Arabidopsis thaliana: one gene and its partners. The protein of the gene in region 3 binds, or shares a complex with, the protein of the main gene of each other region. Each region holds a gene or a part of one and is shown on either strand. Other genes may lie near its edges.

Region 1 (3,754 bases), on a different chromosome or scaffold from region 3:
TTGGAATCGAAATCACAGAAACATAATACAGAGTTATAAAGAACACACTTACACCACTGTGTTGATGGAAGAGAGGAGTATCTGTATCGACCCTGAGGAATTGAAACAGAGGAGAATCAGAAGTCAACAAAAGAGCTTAATCTTATTTTTTAAAAGTCAAAAAGGATTATTTATTACCATAGATGGATTTGAGTAAGCTTGAAGAGAGAACCCAGAGCTTCAATAGCTTCACCTTCTGCTTCTTCTACTTCGCCTCTGACCTTTCCCATTCTTTCAGGAGTATGAATCAAAACCCCCCATAGACCCCTCTTCTTATATGGGAATTTGGTATTTGAACCGACGCCGTTTTTAGTAGTTTTTGTCGTTTGGTATATAAACCGAGCCAAACCGAAATTTGTCTAGTTTGATTTGGATTGGTTAATTAGATATCGGCAAGAAGAAGCATAGATTTTGATAAACGGTCCGGTTCGGAACTACCAAACCGAAATTATCGAAATTTTATTTTAAAGTTGACCGAAATGTACCTAAACATACCAAATTTAACAGAAACTGAACCGAATTTGGTTTCCATTCCAAAATCAGCACTATAAAACTAAAATCAATCAAAATTAATTGGTTTGATTATGTTCGGTTTGGAACTATCAAACTAAAATTAACGAAAATTTATTTTAAAAACCATCAAAAATGTACCAAATTAAACCGAAATTGTTAAATTAATAACCGACTCGATTACAAATCGGCACTATTTATACCATAAACTGAACCAAATTTCGGTCTGATGAGGTGAAGTTGATTTCAAACCGAACATTGAAATATCAAAATTTCGAACCAAACCGGACCGGCTTAGTTCTAAGAAAACGGTAAAAATATCAAAAAAAAGCCTGAACTTTCAAATTTGGGATGAAAAAAGCATGAACTTTGTAAATGTCGTATTAATCATGAAGTTTTAGTTAATTTCTCAAAAAAAATAGCTAAGTTTCGTTGACCGAGCCGTTAAAGGCTTGCCGTTAAATTTTCGTTAACAGAGTTATCACTCCGTTAGAAATTTAAAACGACGTCGTTTTAAATTTTAAAATTAAACAGAAAAAATGAACCTTGCCAAGATTGGAACCGTTACCATGAGAAACTCATTACGAGATTATAAACCATTGACCCACAATTACATTTTGTCAAAGTGACAAACACTAATGTATATATATACTCAACTATTCGTCTTCTCATTCATCTCCTCTATCCCTAGAATCGGAGTTCTCTCCGTAAACAGGATTCCATCGGCGTTTTGGTTTCGTTCCATTAGACAGATATCGGAGTGAGCGATTTTTGTTTTATTGATCTTTGTTGTGGTTTGAGCATTAACCAGCTCTTAGGTATCAAAACTGTAATTTTGTTCATCTTCTCAAACCTTTTTAATAATTTGGTTTCAAAATTGAGGGAATTGAGAAAAAATACATATAGATCCATTAGATCACAATCTAAAGCTCATGTTCGACGAAGATAACACAGATCTGAATCGCAAATCTCACAATCAACATAAAAATTGAAATGCGATTGGGTTTTGTGAACTTGAGAAAAATACAAAGCTATGGCACGCAACAATAGAGTTTTGTTAGTTTCTGTTAATTATGTAATATTAAATATAAACTTTTGTTATTTGATACGAAGATGTTATTTTGTCTAAATGGTTTGGATGTTTGTAAAAGTATTCTCATGTCTCATGTTTGAGCTCAGGTGGTAGTCATTTTTTCTGTTTAATTTTAAATTTTAAAACGACGTCGTTTTGGGTTTCTAACGAAATGATAACTCTGTTATTATTCTGTTAACGGAAATTTAACGGCATGTCTTTAACGGGCCAGTCAACGAAAGTTAGCTTTTTTTCTGAGAAGTCAATCAAAACTTCATAATTAATATGACATTTTCAAAGTTCATGCCTTTTCTATCCAAATTTGAAAGCTCAGGCTTTTTTTTTTGTTGACATTTTTCCCCTTTTAAAACCCTCTCTCCGAGCTCGGCGAGATCAGAGGAAGTAAATTATGCAATCGGAGATGGCGATAGACACGGTGGCCACGGCGGAGAAATCACCACTAGAGCTACTTCAACAAACCAAAGCCTCCGTCGAAGCAATCATAGCAAAGATGCTCTCCATCAAGCAACAAGGAACCCCTAAATCCGAGAATCGAGAACTCCTCACTCAGATGTTTCTCAACTTCATCAATCTTCGTCAAGCGAATCGCTCGATTCTTATAGAAGAAGAGAAAGTGAGAACAGAAACGGAAATAGCAAAATCTCCGGTGGATTTCACGACGTTGGAGCTTCACAATCTCATGTATGAGAAGAGTCATTACCTCAAAGCTAATAAAGCTAGTAGAGATTTCAAATCTAGGTATCCAAACATCGATCTCATATCCGAACAAGACTTCTTCAGTGATGCTCCCGAAGCAATCAAATCTCAAACGTTATCAAATGATAGTTCTCATGATTTGATGCTTAAAAGACTCAATTTTGAGCTTCATCAGGTAAATTTCATTTCAAAGTTCATGTCTTTAAGGTCTTGTAGTAGCTTGATTCAATGTGATTCAATGTTAAGCTTTATACATCTCTGTCTCGAATCGTTAGACCAAGTTCATGTGTTAGATATTGTTGGAGTTTTTATTCAAAAGTGATTGAATGTTTAAGTTTGTTATACACAGAGGAAAGAGCTATGCAAGCTTAGAGTGAGGTTGGAGCAACAGAAGAAGAGTTTACTTGAAAGTAATGCGGAGAGGAACAAGTTTCTGTCAAGTCTTCCAGTGCATCTCAAATCTCTAAAGAAAGCATCTTTGCCAGTACAGAGCCAGTTGAGTTTGCAGAATCAGAAGAAGCTGAAGTATCATAATCTAGCTGAGCTTCTTCCTCCGCCGCTTTATGTTATATATTCGCAGTTCATGGCACTGAAGGAAGCTTTCGAAGAGAATATCGATGTTGAGGTATCTGGGAGTCTTAAGGATGCTCAAACTTATGCGCGGCAGCAAGCAGAACAGAACTCAGGTTAGCAATTCTCACACCTTTAGTTAAAATAAGAATTGAAAATGGAATAGTTATGTGCTCGTTAAAATGACATGTATGTTCAATAATACAGAGAGTCTAAGATTAGAGGTTGGTGTTGATGAAGAAAGGCAAAGGAAACGACTCAAGAAAGTGGGTTCTGATGAGGGAGGAGTATATCAAGTTCATCCTCTTAAAGTTGTCCTTCATGTTTATGATGACGAGATTACAGATCCGAAATCTCATGAACTTGTCATGCTCAAGTTTGAGTACTTGTTGAAGTTGAATGTTGTATGTGTTGGCATTGAAGAGTCTGAGGATGGACTTGAGAAAAATATACTATGTAACTTATTTCCAGACGATTCTGGACTTGAGCCTCCTCATCAGGTACATGTGGTTTTCCTTTTTGATATTCATTCACATATGTTTGCTTGAAAACAGTCATACTCACTTCCTTTACGGTTATACAGTCAGCCAAGCTCATTCTTGGCAACGATCATGTGTTTGATAAAAGCAGAACTTCGAGGCCATATAAGTGGGCACAACATTTGGCGGGGATTGAGACTTTACCTGAAATGTCACCATTTTTTACTGACAAGGATATTCAATATAGTGATACAGCTAAAGGCTATGCTTCTGCTTCTGATCACCGCAATGTGCAAACCGTTCTGCAAAGAATACGGTCCCAGAAAAAGACTAAGCTAACGCTTGTGTGAGTCACACCACTCAGTAT
Region 2 (3,754 bases), on a different chromosome or scaffold from region 3:
AAACAAACCAGCAAAGGGATCGAAATCGTCATCGTCTTCAACATTAACAGATTTCTCTCTAACTTCTTCTTCTGCTGCTGCTGTTACTCCTTCTTCATCTTCCTCCTCCGTCTCCTCGTGAACCCTCCCATTATTAACCCTACCAATCGCCGCCTCCGTAACGTTACCACCGCCGCCAAAATCGCAGTTTCTACACTTGTTAGCCATCGACGTAGCGTAGAGACGCTCGACGATGTTATCTCTCCGACGTTTCAGTTCTTGACCATAGTCAAGAGACGCAACAAGAATCGCCGTATCGATAAATGTCCAAACATCAACACCTGCGTTATCCATAACCGATCGGAAATCATCCAAATCCATTATCACCCACACTCCTCCTTCTTCCCCAAATTTGGTTACTTAATAAAGAATTCAAAACGAAAAACAAAAAACAGAGCAAATCGAATTACGTAACCAGATCTAAAAGATGAATCTTTTGATGAATTTGATTCATCGGAGATTAAAAATCGTGAAGAACCAAACAAAGTTTAGATTTCAAATAGTTTAAAAGATAGACAAATAAAAAAAACAAAAAACAGAAGAATCAGATTGGTAAATTCAGATTAAAAAGGAAGACCCTTTACTGTTACGAGGAAGAAAGAAACAGAGGAGGTCGTCTCACATAAGATCAATAATGAGTAAATGGCAAATTAAAAAAAAAAAAGGGAATGAAGAAGAAAGGGAATATTCCAAATTTGAGGCTTTAGAATTTGGTTTGGAGGGTTATTGCTTTTTCTTTCATTCTTCTGCAAGTTTTTTTTTGTTTGGTCCGTTAATAAAAATAATATTCAGACAGAATCAATTAACAGTTTTAGGACAAAAGTAAAAGAAGAAAATGGGAATTGCTTTATTGAGGGATGATGCTCTTTGCCCTGGACAGAGCAAAGCTAAGCAAGTTGGTTTGTTGTGGTTGGGGAGATGAACAGCTCTAGAGAGAGAGAGAGAGAGATGTGAGTGTTTTTCTTTCAATAATGGCGTTTACTTTTTTTAGTTTTTCTTCAAGTGACGAGAAACATTTTACATGTTTCGACTTTTTTGGTTATTGGGCCTCTAAATTTTTGGCCCTATAGCAAGTGGACCCAATATGTCAAATCAATATTTTCATTTGGTCTCAAAGTGTTTGTTTCATGACTTTCATCTCATGAGCCACTGCCACTCACTAATCGTTTAGTGAATTTACGTCGACGGTACAATCAAAACCCCCAAAGAGAAGATCACATCCGAGTTTTTAGGTGTTGAAGGAGGTGTTCGATCCATCAAAGTTTACTTTGTTAGGAAGTAATGTTTATTTATCACTTGTTGAGTGTAGATTATGAATACAATGTCTTTTATGCAATTATTGGAACCTAATATTTATCTCGAACAATTTCGAGCAATTTTTGAAATCTTCAAATCCTTCTCATGTGAGCTATTATGATTTCTTCTGCAATAACATACCATGAACAATTTCGAGCAATTTTTGAATACAGATGTTTTAAATTTCTAATTGATTTGATTCCACACATTAAAACTACGCCATATCCAACATATACAGGCAAAGGTCTTCTGTAAAACTAAATAATGTGAAGCCCACCACCCAACGGATATCATTTTACTATGAAAGGCCCAATGAACATGTTGTTATTCAGTTTATAAATTAAAAATATTTCGGATCCAGATCCAAGCCCGGATATTTGCGGATAATTTGATTGTTGGGAGGATATCTTCCGGATCCGGATCCACCCTAAATTAAAATTGTTCTTCCTCCACTCTTCTTCAAGTTTGGCCTCCGTTTCCAGATTTTTATTCAATTCTTCTTAATCAACTTTTAAAATCCGGCGACTCATAGTCCGTGAATTTTGACCGGCATATCCGGTTTTGGTGTCGTCGGTAAATTCCTCTTCATTGCAGTGGAAGCTGGTTCATTGAGAAATAATGGTAACTCTTTTGGGATTATGAGACTTGTTTTCTTTTGCTTCTTGTTAAATCTATATAGCTTATAAAAACTTGTTTTCTGCAATTTGTGGTTCTTCGCAGGATGCATTTAGAGATGCTATATTGCAGCGAGCTCCAATTGAAACCTTTGCACTCAAGACTGTTCAACACTTTATACAACCTCAGGTAACTCTTTCGAATCAACTAACAATTTCTTCACTCCTTTAGTCTTACTTATTGTCTTTATTGTAAAATTTGACAGAAACAAACAAAGTTGGCTCAAGATGAAAACCAAATGCTTGAAAACATGCTCCGGACATTGCTGCAGGAGCTAGTGGTCTCTTCTTTCTCCACTATTATATTTTCGTGGTATGCGTATATACTTGTTCATTTATATATGTGTGGATTTCTCTTTCTGTTTTCGGGGTTTCAGGCTGCTGCTGCGCAATCAGGGGAGCAAATTATGCAGTATGGTCAGTTGATTGACGATGATGATGATGATGATGATATACATGGACAGATTCCTCATCTTCTAGGTTAGCAATCTCTCTAGTCTGATTTGCATAGTTCGTTCAAACAAGTGCTAGCGTTGTCCCCGTAAAACTTCTTATTCTCTTGTTGTCTATTGCTTATCATCTTGTCCTCACTACTTTTGTCTAACCTCTCACCATCTTCATGTTTTGATTGCTTTGTTAGATGTTGTGCTTTATCTTTGTGAGAAAGAGCATGTAGAAGGTGGCATGATATTCCAGCTGCTGGAGGATTTGACCGAAATGTCTACTATGAAAAACTGTAAAGATGTTTTCGGTTATATTGAAAGCAAACAAGATATATTGGGCAAGGTATTTCTTAAACGAAATCAAATTTTTTCTCGGTTAGTTGTATCTTGTATTTTGACTTGGATGTTGCAATTATTTGCAGCAAGAGCTTTTTGCACGCGGAAAACTTGTCATGTTGAGGACTTGCAACCAACTTCTCCGCCGACTCTCAAAGGTTCGCTATCTGCACCCTTTTCTAGTTCCCTTTGTCAAATATCCATAAGTCATAATCTACTTTTTCATATATAACACATCCACTCTTTTTTAATTCTTTTTTTTGCTTTCACTATTTGGCATACAGGCCAATGATGTTGTATTCTGTGGAAGGATTCTTATGTTTTTGGCTCACTTTTTTCCGTTATCTGAGCGCTCAGGTAAGAAGGGTTTCTCGTGCATATACGATTATTTGGTATGTGAATGTTTAAAAGGTGTGTAACGTTTACTTGCGTGACTTATTCTTTCAGCCGTCAATATAAAAGGTGTTTTTAATACATCTAATGAAACCAAATATGAAAAAGATCCTCCAAAAGGCAAGTGATTTTTTTTTTTCTTATGCTTTTGGTCCTTATCTCCATATGACAATTCTAAAACGTGTTACTTATTCTGTCTATGTCATTGCTTCTCAGGCATTTCTGTAGATTTCAACTTCTACAAGACATTTTGGAGTTTACAGGTGCGTATTAGTTAAAGGAACTTTGTAGGGAACGAATGTTATGCCTTTATCATAAGGGTTGTCTCATAGAACCTCTGTTTGCATATCATGCAAAATCAACATTACTGGAGATAGCATCTCAAATTTCCTTTTGTTAGTTAGTTTATTGAGATAGTTCTTTTCTTACTGAGAAAATTGTTTCGTTTCCAGGAGTATTTCTGTAATCCCGCTTCTCTTACTTCCGCATCTACCAAGTGGCAGAAATTTTCATCCAGTTTGGCGGTATGTGATCTTTGGTTTTTGACTAAATTGCATTACCTGGTCTTGTATA
Region 3 (3,754 bases):
TAAATTAAATTCTGTGAGAAAGAAAATCCATGATTTAGCAGATAATACTACAGTATTTGACAACAACAACAACAAAATGTTGATAAGTAAGAAAATAAAGCTCGAAGATTTGTAACTATTCATGATTTTAGAAAATCGGAATAATGAATAGTGTACTTATTTGGACACTGAATAAGAAGTTACACAAGTCCCGATTGAAATTTAATTTACTAATGATCGTTACAAAATTATTTGTCTCTTTGTCATCAATCCTGTTAGTGAATATTAGAATTATTATTCATTGTAAACAAATAGGATCATCCAGATTGAGAAGTAAATAATTTTATGTATGTTACAAATGAAATAATTAATTGATCGTAAAACCTCTCTGACCTTATATATATCGAGTCTCACTATTCAACTTTTTCATTGCACTTGTCGTACAAAGGAGTAAACATTGATATGGGAAAGGTATGTGCATTCCTGTCTTTGGTAATTCCAGTAATTTGTTAAGTAAATTATGTGAACTTATATTTTGTGTTTTGGATTTGGTTCTAAAGAACAAGCAAAATGGAGAATCAGACAACAAGTCTGAAAAGAAGAACCAGAAAAATGGAGATTCATCAGTCGATAAGTCTGATAAGAAAAATCAATGTAAAGAAATTGTTCTGAAGGTTTACATGCACTGTGAAGGATGTGCATCACAAGTTTCTCATTGCTTGAGGGGCTATGATGGTAATACTCTATTAAAAGAAACATTATTAGATTACTTTCCCTCTTTAATGGAATCATATATATATGGTCTCGATCATAAGAATCAATGTCAAATATTTAATCATTTATCATTGAGTGAAATTGTACTATAATTTAACTTAAGCATTATCTAGTCTGGTTTCAGTTTTATTTTTCTTTCCTGTAATCTAGAGAAGTTGTCTATTAATTCCCACAATGACATAACGAATAGTAATCTCTAGTTCTTAAAGCATCAATTAAAAAATAGGATTACCGTTTTTTTCTTCTTACTCATGACTCATAAGTAGCTATTATCTTATTTGTCTTATAGGGGTTGAGCATATTAAGACAGAGATAGGAGACAATAAAGTTGTTGTGTCTGGAAAATTTGATGATCCGTTGAAGATATTACGAAGAGTGCAAAAGAAATTTAGTAGAAATGCTGAGATGATTTCCCCAAAACATAACCCTAAACAAGATCAGAAGGAGCCACAGCAAAAGAAAGAAGTAAGTTATTTCCAATTATTTCGTGTTAGAACTTAGATATATACTCTCATTTATATCATACCTTGTCTAATTAATCTGAGAATAACAACTAACATATCTAATCATTTCTAAATATTTTTTGCATGATTTTAGAGTGCTCCCGAGATCAAAACTGCAATTTTAAGAATGAACATGCACTGTGAAGGATGTGTTCATGAAATCAAAAGAGGCATTGAAAAAATAAAAGGTAATCTTTGTATATACATATAGAAATAATACGATATCGAAAGTTAAAAAAAACAACTTAGAATATGTTTGTTTGTTTTGACAAATTAAAAGGCATTCAATCGGTGGAACCAGACCGGTCAAAGTCAACGGTAGTGGTACGAGGAGTCATGGATCCTCCAAAACTTGTGGAGAAAATCAAGAAAAAACTTGGGAAACATGCAGAGCTTCTAAGTCAAATTACAGAGAAAGGCAAAGACAATAATAAGAAGAACAATAATAAGAAGGAAGAAAGTGATGGAAACAAAATCTTTAGTTACCCTCCTCAGTATTCATCTCAACATGCTTATCCCTCTCAGATTTTTAGCGACGAAAATGTACATTCTTGTTCAATCATGTGATTTTTTGACCCGTAAAATTAGAGTCTTTTTAAGTTATCTTTTATGGTTTTGATTTCCTTGCTACACATTTCTATATCTCAATAGATTTTAATTTAATTTAATTTTTGAGTGACACTTTATGAAAGTAAGATTTGGTGTCATGTGTATACTCGATTACTAGATTATGTTTGTAGTTGTGGGCCTTTTGTACAATTATTTGTAAAAAAAAATTAACAGGGCATTAGAGTATAAAAAAAAAGAATGTGGGTATATATTATATTTTAATAACTTAGGGTCTATTTTGTAATATAATATAAGTTGAGAGTACTTGTTGCATTTAACCCAAAAAGAAAAAGACAAGGGAGGACGAAGATGAATTGTCTCAATTTTTAGGGTTCATCAAAATTTGAACAAAAGGGACCTGTTTTGCTCAATTTTTGATAGCAGAAGACGAATCTGGATCTGGGGTCACTTCAAGTAAGTAAAGAGTTAACCTTTTGCTTTTTTTTGTACCATAAATTGTGTTCGAATGGTACGATTGAGAAATTGCTTACGAATCAATGAAATAACAGTTAAGATTTTGATGATGAATGCTCATGAAAATCTATTTAAGTTTGATTGAGAAATTGAAGAAGAGAATAAGAAATCGAGAGATTTATTGCGTAAATGGTAATACTTTATGTTTCAGTTCTGCTATTTAGATCCAAGCTTGAATATGTATCCCTTAGCTTTATTTCTGTAGGTTAAGATTGTTTGGTTGTTGAATGTTCTTTGTTTGTGCATTGCCTTTGCAGGATTGAATTAAGAGGTTTTTAAGTAAGTTGAGATGTCAGTTAAAGCAAGGAGAATTTCTGGTAGATTAGAGACTGTAGTAACTAAGGTTAATTATGCATTTGATCCTGTTGACGATGACAAAATCATAAGAAACCGGCTTCTAACCCGAACCACGACCACTCGAGGCGAGCCTCCATTGAAGAAACTTCAGAAGAAGTTCACTTCTTTTGTACTCGAGGTGGATAAAGAAGAAGAGAACTATAACGACTGCGGTAGACTTGCCAAAGCTTTTTTACAGGAACTGTCAACTTTCGAGATTCCGCTTCTGAAGAGCCAAGCGGTTGTGGAAGCAAACCTTAGGGAGAAAGAGAGCTTTAATGAGGTGAAAGATGAGACGGAAAGGCAGATAATGCAGGCGAAAGCTGAGATTGAAGATCTAAAGAAGCAGCTTGAGGAGAGTAAAATAGATAGACAGCATAAAGAAGAGTGTGAGACGATAAGGAAACTGATTTCTGCGCAACCGCCAAGGTCAGAGACAGAGAAGGTTATATATGAATTGAACAAGGAGATTGCTGAGCTTGAAGCAGAGAGCACTGCAAGTTGGAGATTGCTTGAGCTAAGGAAGAAGCAGTTTGCTCTCCTGATGCATGTGGTAATGTCAAAAAACCGAACCTTTTACGTTTCAGTCTTCATTACGTGATCTATGTTTGAAGTTTGAGTTTGTGATTGTGAACGTTTTTGGGAATGTAGGTGGATGAGTTGCAGAACACAATGGAAGATGAGCAGAAGAGTTTGGTGGACGAGATTCGGTCAGCGTCGGAAGATCAGAGGAACATAACCGACGCTATGTCTGTTGATTAAGTCCAAATCTCGATAAAACCTGCATCATGTTTCAAGCGTTTGCTTTGTCATCTGTTTCCTGTTTCTGATATGCCTATGTTAACCAAAACTGCGGCAGCTCAGTATACTGAAACCTGTGATTCGGATAGAAGAACTGAGAAACAAAGATTGTTTCTTTCAAATTTGCAGATGCAAGAAAGATTGTATCATTGTAAAATGCAGATGTTTAAGAAATTATGGTTTGTATAACCGGTTAAGAAATACCAATTTCTTGGTAATGTACTTTTTTACTCCAAACCGAGGCTGAACTGTTGATTCAATTAAACCGAGGTGGTTTA

Evidence for each region.
Region 1: THO7 (region 3) and THO5 share a complex: the UniProt entries of both Arabidopsis thaliana proteins name them as parts of the THO complex.
Region 2: THO7 (region 3) and THO1 share a complex: the UniProt entries of both Arabidopsis thaliana proteins name them as parts of the THO complex.

What each region holds. Positions count from the first base shown.
Region 1 is NC_003070.9:17,150,926-17,154,679, forward strand, and holds the start of THO5 (THO complex, subunit 5), read left to right. Parts: upstream 1-1,970; 5' UTR 1,971-2,030; coding exon 2,031-2,513; intron 2,514-2,687; coding exon 2,688-3,024; intron 3,025-3,115; coding exon 3,116-3,408; intron 3,409-3,491; coding exon 3,492-3,737; 3' UTR 3,738-3,754. Other genes in the region: AT1G45231 (S-adenosyl-L-methionine-dependent methyltransferases superfamily protein), read right to left, coding at 53-92, 178-269. UniProt on the Arabidopsis thaliana protein: Acts as a component of the THO subcomplex of the TREX complex which is thought to couple mRNA transcription, processing and nuclear export.
Region 2 is NC_003076.8:3,064,862-3,068,615, forward strand, and holds the start of THO1 (nuclear matrix protein-like protein), read left to right. Parts: upstream 1-1,716; 5' UTR 1,717-1,953; coding exon 1,954-1,956; intron 1,957-2,055; coding exon 2,056-2,139; intron 2,140-2,215; coding exon 2,216-2,290; intron 2,291-2,386; coding exon 2,387-2,489; intron 2,490-2,649; coding exon 2,650-2,795; intron 2,796-2,874; coding exon 2,875-2,946; intron 2,947-3,072; coding exon 3,073-3,145; intron 3,146-3,235; coding exon 3,236-3,301; intron 3,302-3,397; coding exon 3,398-3,444; intron 3,445-3,633; coding exon 3,634-3,705; intron 3,706-3,754. Other genes in the region: AT5G09850 (Transcription elongation factor (TFIIS) family protein), read right to left, coding at 1-360. UniProt on the Arabidopsis thaliana protein: Acts as a component of the THO subcomplex of the TREX complex which is thought to couple mRNA transcription, processing and nuclear export. Contributes to the integrity of the endogenous trans-acting small interfering RNA (ta-siRNA) pathway.
Region 3 is NC_003074.8:665,314-669,067, reverse strand, and holds the start of THO7 (Tho complex subunit 7/Mft1p), read left to right. Parts: upstream 1-2,145; 5' UTR 2,146-2,279; exon of another isoform or gene 2,280-2,471; intron 2,472-2,596; 5' UTR 2,597-2,628; coding exon 2,629-3,228; intron 3,229-3,326; coding exon 3,327-3,437; 3' UTR 3,438-3,754. Other genes in the region: AT3G02960 (Heavy metal transport/detoxification superfamily protein), read left to right, coding at 442-450, 540-714, 1,043-1,218, 1,351-1,444, 1,537-1,823. UniProt on the Arabidopsis thaliana protein: Acts as a component of the THO subcomplex of the TREX complex which is thought to couple mRNA transcription, processing and nuclear export.